Linked DNA regions of Schizosaccharomyces pombe. The protein of the gene in region 1 binds, or shares a complex with, the protein of each later gene. Each region holds a gene or a part of one and is shown on either strand. Other genes may lie near its edges. A codon is read from its position in the direction of its gene.

The links.
Region 2: the proteins of clr2 (region 1) and clr1 are in contact, whole or in part, in a crystal structure (PDB 5IKJ), measured with the Schizosaccharomyces pombe proteins. Residues at the interface, in NP_594802.1 of Schizosaccharomyces pombe: Met1 (codon at 2,709), Pro2 (codon at 2,712), Ala3 (codon at 2,715), Ile4 (codon at 2,718), Thr5 (codon at 2,721), Cys6 (codon at 2,724), Val7 (codon at 2,727), Trp8 (codon at 2,730), Leu52 (codon at 2,862), Val56 (codon at 2,874), Phe57 (codon at 2,877), Gly61 (codon at 2,889), Thr63 (codon at 2,895), Ile122 (codon at 3,072), Leu124 (codon at 3,078), Tyr131 (codon at 3,099), Leu182 (codon at 3,252), Ile183 (codon at 3,255), Ser184 (codon at 3,258), Asp185 (codon at 3,261), Leu186 (codon at 3,264), Lys211 (codon at 3,339), Glu212 (codon at 3,342), Arg215 (codon at 3,351), Met216 (codon at 3,354), Phe217 (codon at 3,357), Glu219 (codon at 3,363), Cys220 (codon at 3,366), Lys221 (codon at 3,369), Thr224 (codon at 3,378); in NP_596236.1 of Schizosaccharomyces pombe: Lys1164 (codon at 5,462), Ile1167 (codon at 5,471), Ala1170 (codon at 5,480), Leu1171 (codon at 5,483), Lys1173 (codon at 5,489), Arg1174 (codon at 5,492), Asn1175 (codon at 5,495), Val1176 (codon at 5,498), Tyr1177 (codon at 5,501), Lys1178 (codon at 5,504), Ser1179 (codon at 5,507), Phe1180 (codon at 5,510), Ala1181 (codon at 5,513), Gly1182 (codon at 5,516), Leu1183 (codon at 5,519), Tyr1184 (codon at 5,522), Asp1185 (codon at 5,525), Asn1200 (codon at 5,570), Tyr1201 (codon at 5,573), Ala1202 (codon at 5,576), Arg1203 (codon at 5,579), Val1204 (codon at 5,582), Gly1205 (codon at 5,585), Arg1206 (codon at 5,588), His1207 (codon at 5,591), Gly1208 (codon at 5,594), Ser1209 (codon at 5,597), Phe1210 (codon at 5,600), Ile1211 (codon at 5,603), Leu1212 (codon at 5,606).

What each region holds. Positions count from the first base shown.
Region 1 is NC_003424.3:4,962,568-4,967,480, forward strand, and holds clr2 (SHREC complex subunit Clr2), read left to right. Parts: upstream 1-1,925; 5' UTR 1,926-2,708; coding exon 2,709-4,322; 3' UTR 4,323-4,413; downstream 4,414-4,913. Other genes in the region: mrps18 (putative mitochondrial ribosomal protein subunit S18), read right to left, coding at 4,656-4,913. UniProt on the Schizosaccharomyces pombe protein: Required for deacetylation in the mating-type region and the centromere. Acts upstream of the histone deacetylases to promote transcriptional silencing.
Region 2 is NC_003423.3:2,995,266-3,001,939, forward strand, and holds clr1 (SHREC complex intermodule linker subunit Clr1), read left to right. Parts: upstream 1-1,825; 5' UTR 1,826-1,972; coding exon 1,973-5,689; 3' UTR 5,690-5,871; downstream 5,872-6,674. Other genes in the region: peptidyl-tRNA hydrolase Pth1, read right to left, coding at 59-232, 269-314, 354-658, 706-801; protein mhf1, read left to right, coding at 1,187-1,198, 1,244-1,422, 1,473-1,614; ABC1 kinase family ubiquinone biosynthesis ATPase Coq8, read left to right, coding at 6,096-6,674. UniProt on the Schizosaccharomyces pombe protein: Regulates silencing of the mat2 and mat3 loci. Organizes the chromatin structure of the mating-type region where it also participates in establishing the 'cold spot' for recombination.

The DNA.
Region 1 (4,913 bases):
ATTGCTCGTTTCGAATGTGCTTGCAAAAATAACAGAAATCGTAGGGAGCATCTCGGATGAATTCAAAAGATCACTAATGAAACCTTGTGGATTTTTTTTAGCGATCAGCGATTAGTAAACTTTGTGGGAATCGCCAGTTTCGTCAAAAACTACTAAATGTTAAAAGAGTGTATGGAAAAAAATTTCACTGTTGGAAAAACTAACGGGATTATGCTTAAAACGATGAGAAAAATGCAATACCCACACTTGACTTGTAAACTCATTCATTGCAATATACGTTTGCTTATTTGTTGGTGCCTGGAAAACAAAAGAGAAATTAATAACCTAAATTTAAAAAATAAAATAGAAAAAGGAACGTTACATAATACAGATGACTAGTTTTCTGTGTAAAAACAATAAAATAAAAAATAATGGTAATTAATAAATAATACAATTTTGGATATTGATCGTCATTCTAGTTACTATTTGGAATAGGAATAAAAATAAAAAAGAAAATTTTTATTTGAAGAAATAATCTAACTGTCAGTATCTAGCGATTTATAATTTATATCTAATCATGGTTTAGTACAGTTTTTTTCACATAGTAATAAAGGATTGGTAATATTTAAGCAGTGATAATAACTATTTATTTAATTGTTCGATGTTTTATTTGCAAAAACTTTACGTATCGTAAATATTAAAAATTGATTTGTGTTGTATTTTAAGCAGCCCAATTGACTCACAAATTTTAAAGATCGTATAAAATGCTTTTATAAATTACTTTTTATATTCTTTTAGATCTGTCAAAACTAGTAACGTAAAGTATTTGTAGATAAAAATTGAGACACGAGTTTTTATATTTTAATCATACCCATATCTGTTGATTTCAAATCATTATTTCTTTTTTTTATTAGTTAGCAAATAAAATTATAAACATTACATTTATGATTGAAACAATGATCTATCAGATGTCGAAGCAGATGCTGATGTATACAAAGCTAAATGTTTATGCTAGAAATACTTTCTTTAGGATTCGTAGAATCTGATGAAATATATTGTAGATATTGTAACAAGACTATTTTTAAAATTTCATTTACTTTACTGTATGAGAACATATCAAAGCATTCCAACAAATTATTTGCGTTTCATTTTTTTTGTTTCAAACTTGGGAACATTTCAAAATAACCTTTTTTGAACTATCGTAATTCAAATTTGTATGTAAAATCACAAATACTGTTTCTAAGTCTTTAATGCTTCAAATTTCCGATTGAAAGTTCTAATCACCTAACTTATTCTAAAAAATCGTTATACCGATATATGATTGATATATATATATATATAATTTTTTTTTTTCAATTTATACTACTGACGAAGTCATGTTTCCATGTCCATCCAAGACTTCGATAAAAAGAGTTGATATTTTTATAAACTATTAACTCTTTTAATTCACTTGTAAAAAGTCATGTTAAAAAAGTTGTTCGTTGTAAGACATTTGCTATATTCTTTATAAAATTAATATTATAGCTTTATATTATATAACGATACTAATTTAGTTATATCGTTGAAAATTCGTCTGAGAAAAATCCATATTCTGGCTAATCTAACATATAATCCAAGTATTTTATTGGCAAATATTTCAATTTATTGAAATTTGTTTTTGCTAACTGAACCAAACAACTAAAATATAGTTTACGTCGATTACTCAAATTTTTCTGGGAGTGGTGGTTCGTTCACATATCCTTCATATTATCGACGTATTTTGATTCCATACACTCCAACATTTTCTAAGTTTTTTTAACTCTTTTTTCTTCCATTGGAATATCAGTCTGCCGCTCACTGCTCTCGTATATTTGTAGAGTGATTCTTCTTAACAAGTGGTCAGTGGAACGAGTAACGTGTTCCTCATTGCTCAATGGGATCGCCAGGATTAACTTCATGAATTAGCTATAAACAGACGCAACGCCATTAAGCATTGCTCTTCTTCATCCACGAAAACTGGAAGTCGCTTTGCTTTTATACCTCATTTATCTTTTAAAATATAACGTATCTTATAAGCGCATTTTGGTGATTTCTTTCTTTTCGCTGGTTCATTGCTACTCAACTGTAAGCTGTTGCTTGATCGAACTCGAGACGTTATTAATTGTTCTAAAGAAAATACCTGTCGCTATTTCCCTTCATCTACAAGCGTAGGAGGGTGTTTTTCAGTAATCTTCCTTGGGACATCTAGCCTGAAAAGAGTGAAGTTTTTCGATTGCTATTCGTTTCAACCCCAAATTATACTGAAGATACTAATAATTTGTCTCTCCATGGCCTTGGAGTCATCTCGTTTCGCTATTGTCGGACTTCTTTACAACGAACACAGAATTGTCGTATTCTCTTTAGATTTTTTCTAAACGATATTGGCAAAAAAATAAACAACAATAACCTAAATATTTATTTTCTTTCGCCCCTTGAGCCAGTTTATTTTCATCTGTGGTTTTTGTACATCCAGGACATATCAAGTTGAGTTGTTTGATTGGTTCGAAAAAACAAAGTTTTGCTTACGTTCAAATCGCTTTTTGCACACATTCATAAAATATCGCAATATCCTCGTTTCACGAGATCCGAAAAAATATTTGCTTCGTTTTCTGTTCTTTTTAACTCTTTGCGTCAATTTTCCGCTACACAAAATAATTTGCATACTTCTTTTGTTCCGTTATAACTTCAGCTATTGTCATTTTTAGTAGCTAATGCCTGCTATTACTTGTGTTTGGTCCGATGGGCGCTCTGATACATGGCCTAATGTAAATGGTCATAGCAGAACAAGATCCGTCCCTTCGTTAAAGCCACTACCACATCAAGACAGTAAAAATTTACTTTACCGCCAGATATGCGGTCGTTTACTTGCCCAGCATGTTTTCGGTGGTGCCGGCTCAACCCAACCTATTCTCAACCAACTTTGTAAAAGATTGTCCACCGGTAATCCCAATAATACCAATGCGTCCACTGTTGTTACAGCCCCCGAAAAAAATGTGGTCTCTGCTAGACATGTTCGACCAAATCCAAAATCTTCCAAGGACACCTTGGAAAAACAACCTAAATATTCTTCACAAATATACCTTACCGACAGTTTTGAAAATTATTATCTTGCCTCTTTACCCACCAATTACCAGCTATATCAGCGTGATTCAAACCGTGAAAATGGCAATGGTAAACGTGAATTTTGGCTTTATGGCCATCCCAGTGGTCGACCATTTCGATCAGTTAATGATTTCCTTCATCATTTGTATTGGCTTATATCAGATTTGACCCGTAACGAGTCTACCTGCTGTTGCGTTCTGTGTTCTGGTAATATGACGCGTGTACGCAAAAATCTCCAAAAAGAAAATGAACGGATGTTCCATGAATGTAAGGATGATACATACACCTGGCCTTCTTCGTATCGCCTTGGCGAAGTGGTATGGATTGACATAAATAATGAGCTCATTCCAGCAATTATAGTGGCTCGGAACTTAATAAACTATGAAAGTAACCAGATGGATGCTGTCAAATTAATATCTGATACTTTTGTGGAACCATATCAATACCATTGCAAACAATTAGGCAACTCTCGTTATTACTTTGACATGGCAGCTGCAGATATTGAGCCTTGGTCCCGGCATCCACTCGATTTACAAAAACAAGAACATCTAGTTGCTCATTCTATATGTCAAACGTGGAACCTATTTGGTATCTTCCAGCCACTAGAAGGTATAGATATGGAAGAACCAAAGTTCCACGACGAAAATTATTCCATCCCTCTCACAGTTTTACCAACCTTTGGGGGTGAATCAAATAGTTTAGATGATCATTTTTACGGAATTTTCCGTGGAGCCGAAAAACTATGGATTAATGATTTATGTGTTATATCCACATCTTCACTGCCATCTGTACTTCAAAAAACAAGTTTTATGTACATATCTGATATTTATGTAAACGAAGATGACATTGTCTGTTTCCAAGGCTCACTATGGACACAAATTGACAAAAATGCACTCGATTATAATGACAGCGCTGACAATATTGATGAACATAAGGATGACTTAAAAGAATTACCAAGAAGATTACAAATGGTATCAAAACTATCAAACACATATTTTCGTTGCCTGCATGATAAATCTGTCGAGTACGTCTGCCCATTCGCAGATGTTTTGGGAAGATGGTATGAGCCTTGGTTCGTAAAAGGAGATTTAAATTACACTTCAGAAGTGAAAGAACGCACATCCAGTCGATTATCAGCAGTAGGCTCTGAAAATTGGGTCGATGACGATTTTTATGAATATTTACTGTCTGAAATTGATATGGTGTCAGCAGTTGTAATGTAATAAGTATGGCAGATAAAATTAGATATAGAAGTGTCTACTTATTGATCAGTGACGGTCATTATTTATAATGTAAATAATATGGGAATAATAATGTCTTTTGCATTTCATAAATTACAGAGAAAGATAGGTAAAAACTATTTGTGTTGAATTAGAGATGGGATATAGTTTTTTTTAAGAAATCATGTTGCACTATCACACCGGTATTAATAAATCATTTCTAAGTTCAGAAGGTCAAATACAACGGTGGAAAAGCACCAACAATGTTGGGCAGCAGATTAACTGCACAGGAAGATTACGTAAACGAAGAAAACAGAAAAGTAATATAAACATACTTCATATGCGTCGCTCCCTTCTACCTCTCGGTCCTCCAAATTTAATAGGTGTTCGATCCATAACCTTTACAATTTTGTCTCGAATTACGGCACCTTCTTGCCCTAATAAACAATTTTGTACTGCTTCCCTGGCCTGACTAAAACCATGAAATATAACATGCAAATTTTCAATACCAAGGCGCTTTACTTGGATTTGTTCCAGCACCTTGGAGCAAATGGTATAAGCAGCATCGTAGCCACGGCGCTTTCCTTTACGAAA
Region 2 (6,674 bases), on another chromosome or scaffold:
TAATCAACAATCAATTTTACAAGGAACAACCCGCAATGAGTTAAGCTTAACTTAGTCCCTATGTTTCAATTGAAAGTTGTAATTGTTGAAGAATGTTGCAAAACTTATGGAATATATCAGTTTCAATTAGTTTCATTTCATTAGAGTTGAATTTACTCAAAACATAATCTGAAACGTCCTCCCTATTCCTTGACTCACAACGTCCAATTCCCAATCCAATCCTGTAAAAACTCTTTGAATTAGTAATGAAATTAAATGTGTACCTTACTTCTTTTCCTAGGAATTCTTGACAAGAGCGAATCCCATTGTGTCCCCTAGCAATGTTAATAAGTATTGCTTTGGATATTACTTACCTGTGAGAGCCTCCGGGCAAACGAAGCTTGACTTTGCCTAAATCTAACTCCAATTCGTCATGCACAACTACATATACGATTTTGTCTAATGGCGAAACTTTGCGCACAAAATCATTAGATATCTTTTTCAACTGTTTCCCGGAATCATTCATGTATGAGGTGGACAAAACCAAGGTGAGATTTTCTTTGGTACTAGGCCAATTTTTTGGAAATGCCATGCTGTCAGCGTACATACTCACCATTAATTTCCCCAGTGAGTGTCTCGATTTGACGAACGCTGATCCTGGATTTCCTAAACCATAGATCTTTCGGATTAGTATCCCATTTTGGAAAGACTTTTACGGATCATAACAATTTTTATAGAAACTCTTCTTTTAAGGTCGCAATGGTTAACTTCTGCTTTGTTTTTCCTGGCAATTAAAATCTTAGGAAGATGTTTTATTGCCATACGGAACTTTGGTACTTATTTTAAAAAAAATTTTTTTTGATTGAAAAAAAGCTTTAGCATCCTCAACAGAATTTTCAACTTACCAAGAATTGTGTTTGCACCATGGACTTTTTTCTGAGAAAATTTTTATTTAGGCACAAGGTTTTATTAAGATTAATAAATACTTTCCAACTGATTGGTTTTGGCCTACTCTTTGGTATTTAGCACGGTTAGCTCCCCACGAAAATAATATTTTAGTTTAGATTAATAAAACAATGTTTCAAACTACGAAGAAACTTGGAAACCACCTATTTCATGTTTTAGCCATTTAATTATAAGGAGACTACTTATCTTAACTTTTAGTAACGTATTATTACGAAAATTAATAAAAAGTAATCAAAGTTATATGATGGAGGAGGTAATAATGCATTTTAATATAGGTATTGGCTAACTGGTATTCTAGGAGAGATTCAAAGCAGAGATTTTTCACGTTACACAAGAAGTTTGTAATCGTACAGCTTCTGAATTAACTGAATCAGAGTCAAGAAATGTCATTGTAGATGAGCTTTTTTGTGTTGGAGTTACCGAAATGGTTTGGGAACAAATACGTGTATTAGCTAAAGACATTGAGGCTTTTGCAGAGTACGCTCTTGATGGAAATAAATATTTTAATCTTATTAACAAAATAATAGACATGCAGGACGGAAAACGGTTCAACCACAGGATGTGCTTTTATGTTGTCGAAGAAATGAAGGATTATATGAGATTATCAATAATTTTCACAAAGAATCGATCAAATCTAAAAAGAAAAAGAAAGAAAACAGTACAACATAATGCACATCCATTGTGGGTACAGTGATTATAGCTCATTTTCAACGCTGTGTTATCGTTAATAACTTTCTATTACATAGATTGACCATTGTCAAGACTTATTATTAGTTCTTTTTTATTTAATGTTATTCTTTGTTGTAACAAATTTCCCCGTTTTTTGATATCTTAGTGTGCATCCCCGGCTATTCTTTCCTTCCCGTCGTAGTTCACTTCATCAATAGCAGCAGCACCACAATAAATAGTGCGAACAGTAATTCGAAGGGCTGGTCCCAAGGAATTCCACCTTTTGGAATTTAATTAATGGTAATAAATACTTTTTGTCACATTTAAAGACACAACTGCATGCAATTCGTTGTTAGATATGGCGGAACCTGATATCAGTTCTTCAGAGACATTGACAGAATTGCAACAACTCAGACTCCTATATTTTTTCTGCTTTTATCATGCTGCTCCATTCAATGTGAAAACTCTGGTTCATTCACTTATTCCACCTGGCGCTTTATCATATTTATTGTCGACGTATGATATTTTGCGTCCATGGTTGATGGCTTTACGAGTCAGGGAGGGTCCAGTCAACGATATATCTACAATTGTTCAATTGTATGAGGAAATTGTAAAAACTGGGTTCTTCATTAATCCCCCTCCATTCGAATCGTACTCACAGACATTAGTAGCTCGGATAACTACTTTGGGTCGCCCAAAGCTACAGGTGCAACAGGAAGCTCAATCTGAAGTTTATCAACGGGCTTCAACAAATACACAACAACAAGTCTCCAATGTATCTCATGGTAATTTCAAACCCAATTCTTCGGTAAATACAGAACCTAACACTTCAATTTTATCAAATTCTAAATATGCTGGTATTAAACCATTCGACTTTCAGAGTTCATCACAAAATCCTGGATTGGTTTGCGAACAAAAAACATTTTATCAGCATCAATTTCGTCCTTTTTCTAATCTCCCATCTAATAAGTCTAGCCCGGTTAAACACGTATCTCCAAATGTCAAAAATAATTCAAAGAAAACTGCTTCCTCAGTCAACTCTAATCATTCTTCTATTCCGTCTTCTATAACTAAGTCCAATATATCTTCTTTAGATGTGTATGGTTCAGAAAAGCTTATTTCCTCGGGAAGCCAACAGCCAGGGCATGGTATGGTGCAAACAACTTCCGATAAAGTTAACGCGTCAGCATCTCTTTATGACCGCTCACCTTCAAAAAAAGATATCACAAGTTCCCGTAATACGTCTTCTTATAATCTTGGAAGTATGCGAAACCCTTCAACCTTAAAAAATGCAGCTCATGCAAACCCTTTTGAAGGACTGCGTTTCCAAGGCTCTTCAGCAGTGCTTAAAGAGGGGCTTAACTCTACTGTTAAGAAAACATTTTTTGATAATTTAAACTCTGAAAAGGTGTGTCCATCTGTTTCTCCGTTTTTAACACCTGATAATATTGCATCCTCAATCCTATACTCTACAGCGTCTTTCTCTCGATCAAAACCTGATAGACCGAGACTTAATTTATCATTGGAGCTAAAGCTAATGCAAAACGAACTAAATAAAGGTCAATTGAAAAAACAATTCAAAGGCGATTTGCGTAACCTGGCCGATTGGAATAATCTTTCGTTAGTGTCCTCGAAGTTCCCTTCATTGCCAATTACTAACCTGCGACCGGATGGCTCTTTTTTGAAACATAGGCGGTTTAATGAAGAGATTGCTTACAACCGCCAAACTCTTGAAAAAGCTATAAAACAGCTAGACTTATCTCCTGATAAAGTCATTCAACTTCGTGAACAAAATGGTGTTGCAGTTAACGGACGTGTATGCTATCCTACGAGAAATAAACACTCGGAAATCTCTGCTCAATCAAGCTCTTCGTTAGGAGTTACTAAATCTCTGGCGTCGGAAGTGTATTCCTCTTCAACTGTCGACACCATTAGTAAACTTAATACTGATAAGGATAATTATTTGATTAAAAGCAAAAAGGAACCAATACAACAAAAATCTGTTAGCTCGGAAACTACTTTGGTGAAACCGTCATCAACTTCTTCCTACATTGACACAACTAACAATGTCTTGAAAACGAATTCTAGTTTTAAGTCGTCTGGTTTGACAAGTGGGCCTAGAAATGAAAAGGAATTATTGCCTGAGGGAATTCCGACATCTCATAATAATTCTGAAACTCAAGCTCAAACAGCTGACGTATCAAACATAGCAGCTTCCGCCGATGGAATATATAATTCTGATCAGGAAAAACCTCCTGAGAAGCTGGACGTTACAAAGAGAGCTTTTGGACGTGAAATAGAAAATTCGAATGAAAAAGAATTATTGACTAGCACATTTTTAAGTCCTTCTGCAGAATCTCAGGTTTGTCTTGCAGAAATAAAAACCATACGTCCGGGATTGGTTCCTAAAAAGCAGTTTTCTGTGGATCAAAATAATGTAATAAGTGACAATACGGACTGTTCGCTTCCTAAACCATCTAACTCTAAGCTCTCCAGTATTAGTAGCGATGGGGATGCTTCTAGCAATCGAATGGCTGTACCCGATAAGTCTCCTTTTGTTCATGCTGCACCAAATTCTAAAGCATTGACGAAGGATAGTTTTTCTACTCACATTAGCGTTTCATCTCTTCTTCATAGTGACAACGAGATTTCTCCTATCGATTCAACTCGTAAAGATTACTTTACTTCAAAGGACAGCAATCTTCAGACTCTTAAAGAAGATGCGTCTTCAACAAAACAGGCTAAAGATTCTGGTACTAATGATTTTGACAAACTGATATCTGGCAATGATGTATCTAAAAACAATTCTGGCGAAGAACAAAGCAGAAGCGCATTGAAGCCACTAATTTCTGGGAAACTATCAAGTTGTGAGTCGATCAACTTAACCAAGGATATTTCAACTGTTAAGCGCAAAGAGTATTTTGGAATTGAATCGACGTCCTCAAAACAACCTTTCCATGATACTGGTTCAATTAAAATCCCAGCAAAAAGATCTTTTGATACCATTGATAAAGATTTTAGAAGTTCTAATATTCCATTTGCCGACAAAATTAAAGAGGACGGTGGAGATAAAAATGTGATTTCCTCAATTCATATTACAACTGAGCTTCCTAAATCAATGCCCGTTGAAGTACCTACTAATGCTGGTGCTCAAAGCGATCAAAGCAATGTCGTTGACTCCGAGTCTTTGAATTTGCGTGAGAATATTTCTACGAGCGTTGCTGACGTGAGCCTTAGTCAAGCAGGGAACGAAGCAGTGCTTAGTAAAAAGGCTTGTAAACCGCTTGTGTTAATTGACCCCTTTGAGGAGAAAGTACTTAAAGCCTTTAACATGTTGAGTAAAGGTTATGCTGAATACCGTTGTCAATGGGAGGGTTGTTTAGCCAATCTTCATTCGTTGGAAAATTTTATAAAACACGTTTTATTGTTACATCATCCGAAAAGTTGTTCTGTGGTTAAATGCCTATGGGCTTCGTGTGATATGGTTTTGCCATCAGAAGAGTTTGAAATGCATTTGCGCGGCCATTTGAACAACATCCGGCTTAATTGTGAAGTTTCTAACTGTAAAAAGTGCTTTTCTAATTATGAAGATATGTTCAAACATTTGCAGCATTCACATTTACCTTTCAAGTTCACACCAGAGTCTTTCATTAAAATTCGAAATGGCAATGTCAAAGAAGAAGCACGTCGTACAAGAAATGCTTACACACAGAAGTCTGGTGAAGTAGAATGTTTTATGGAAACTTGTACACCGATAGCTAAACCTGCTCCTGCGAATTGGTATCCGGTTCCTCCACCTGGTTTTAACTCATCTTTACTTTCCAGACTAACCCAAAGCAATCAGTCTAAAGATAAAATTATAGCTGCTTTAGCTAAGAGGAATGTTTATAAATCATTTGCGGGTTTGTACGATAGTAAAGGTAAAAATGATAATACTGGGTACGATTTTGATTCAAATTATGCCCGGGTTGGTCGTCATGGTTCTTTTATTTTACCTGTCAGCAAAAGTGTCCCTACTCCATCCTTGCTAATCGAAGGGTCTATTGTGCAACGTAAAAATATAAAAATAGAATGATCCGTCTTTGTACGTTACAAGCGTGATCTCAACAATTATTTTCTTAATTATGGTTTAATCCAACTGGCGTGAATCTCTCTGAACAAACATCTTATGTCTTTTATTTATATAGTTATTGTATGTAAAGTAAATATAAAAAATTATTGATTGTCCTTAATTTACTGTACACGCGTCCCTTCAAGTACATACATATGGTTCGATTGCTTAACTGAAGTAACCGCCGCTAGGAACCATCATAAACTTTTATCATTTTTGGATTCATAAAACCATTATAACAGTGGCTAGTTAATGAAAATAATCAAATGTCTGGTTTTTGAAATAAATAAATTCACTTGAAAGCCCTTCCATTCGAAATTGAAGCACTTTTTATTCCAAGGCTTATTTTTCTCTTATTTAATCAGAACAAATGGCTAATTCAGGGCTTTGGGAACTTATAACAATAGGATCCGCAGTTCGAAATGTTGCCAAATCATATTTAAAGGCTGAAGCTTCGTCAATTACAGCAAAACAACTGTATGATGCATCGAAAATAACCAGTTCGAAAAGGTCCACAAGTGACCTGCACGTTCAATTATTGGAGAAATACAGAAACGGTAAAGTCAAACATGCTTCCCAAATAAAAGAATTGGGGTTATCTTCTAAAGATACGAAACGAACGCTTTTGGGAAATTCTTTAGATGTTCAGAAAGATGCCTCCGGTGTCAAACATTTGCAGGAGCAATCTTCTAAAGAAATAAAAAATCCTATTTCGCAACCGATTTTACCAAATAAAAAAGATGAAATAAGTCCTGCTAAACCTTCAGCGATTGATTCTAGTATTAAAGACGTAACAAAATCACACCCTGCAACGAATGCCAATTTTACAGCAGACTTTGAATCCTCTATTGAAGAAAGCTACTCTACTGAGAATAAGTCTCCGGTTATACTTTCCTCTTCTAAAGTTCCTTCGTCCCAATGGAGTCGTCTATGGCATTACGGAGGCCTT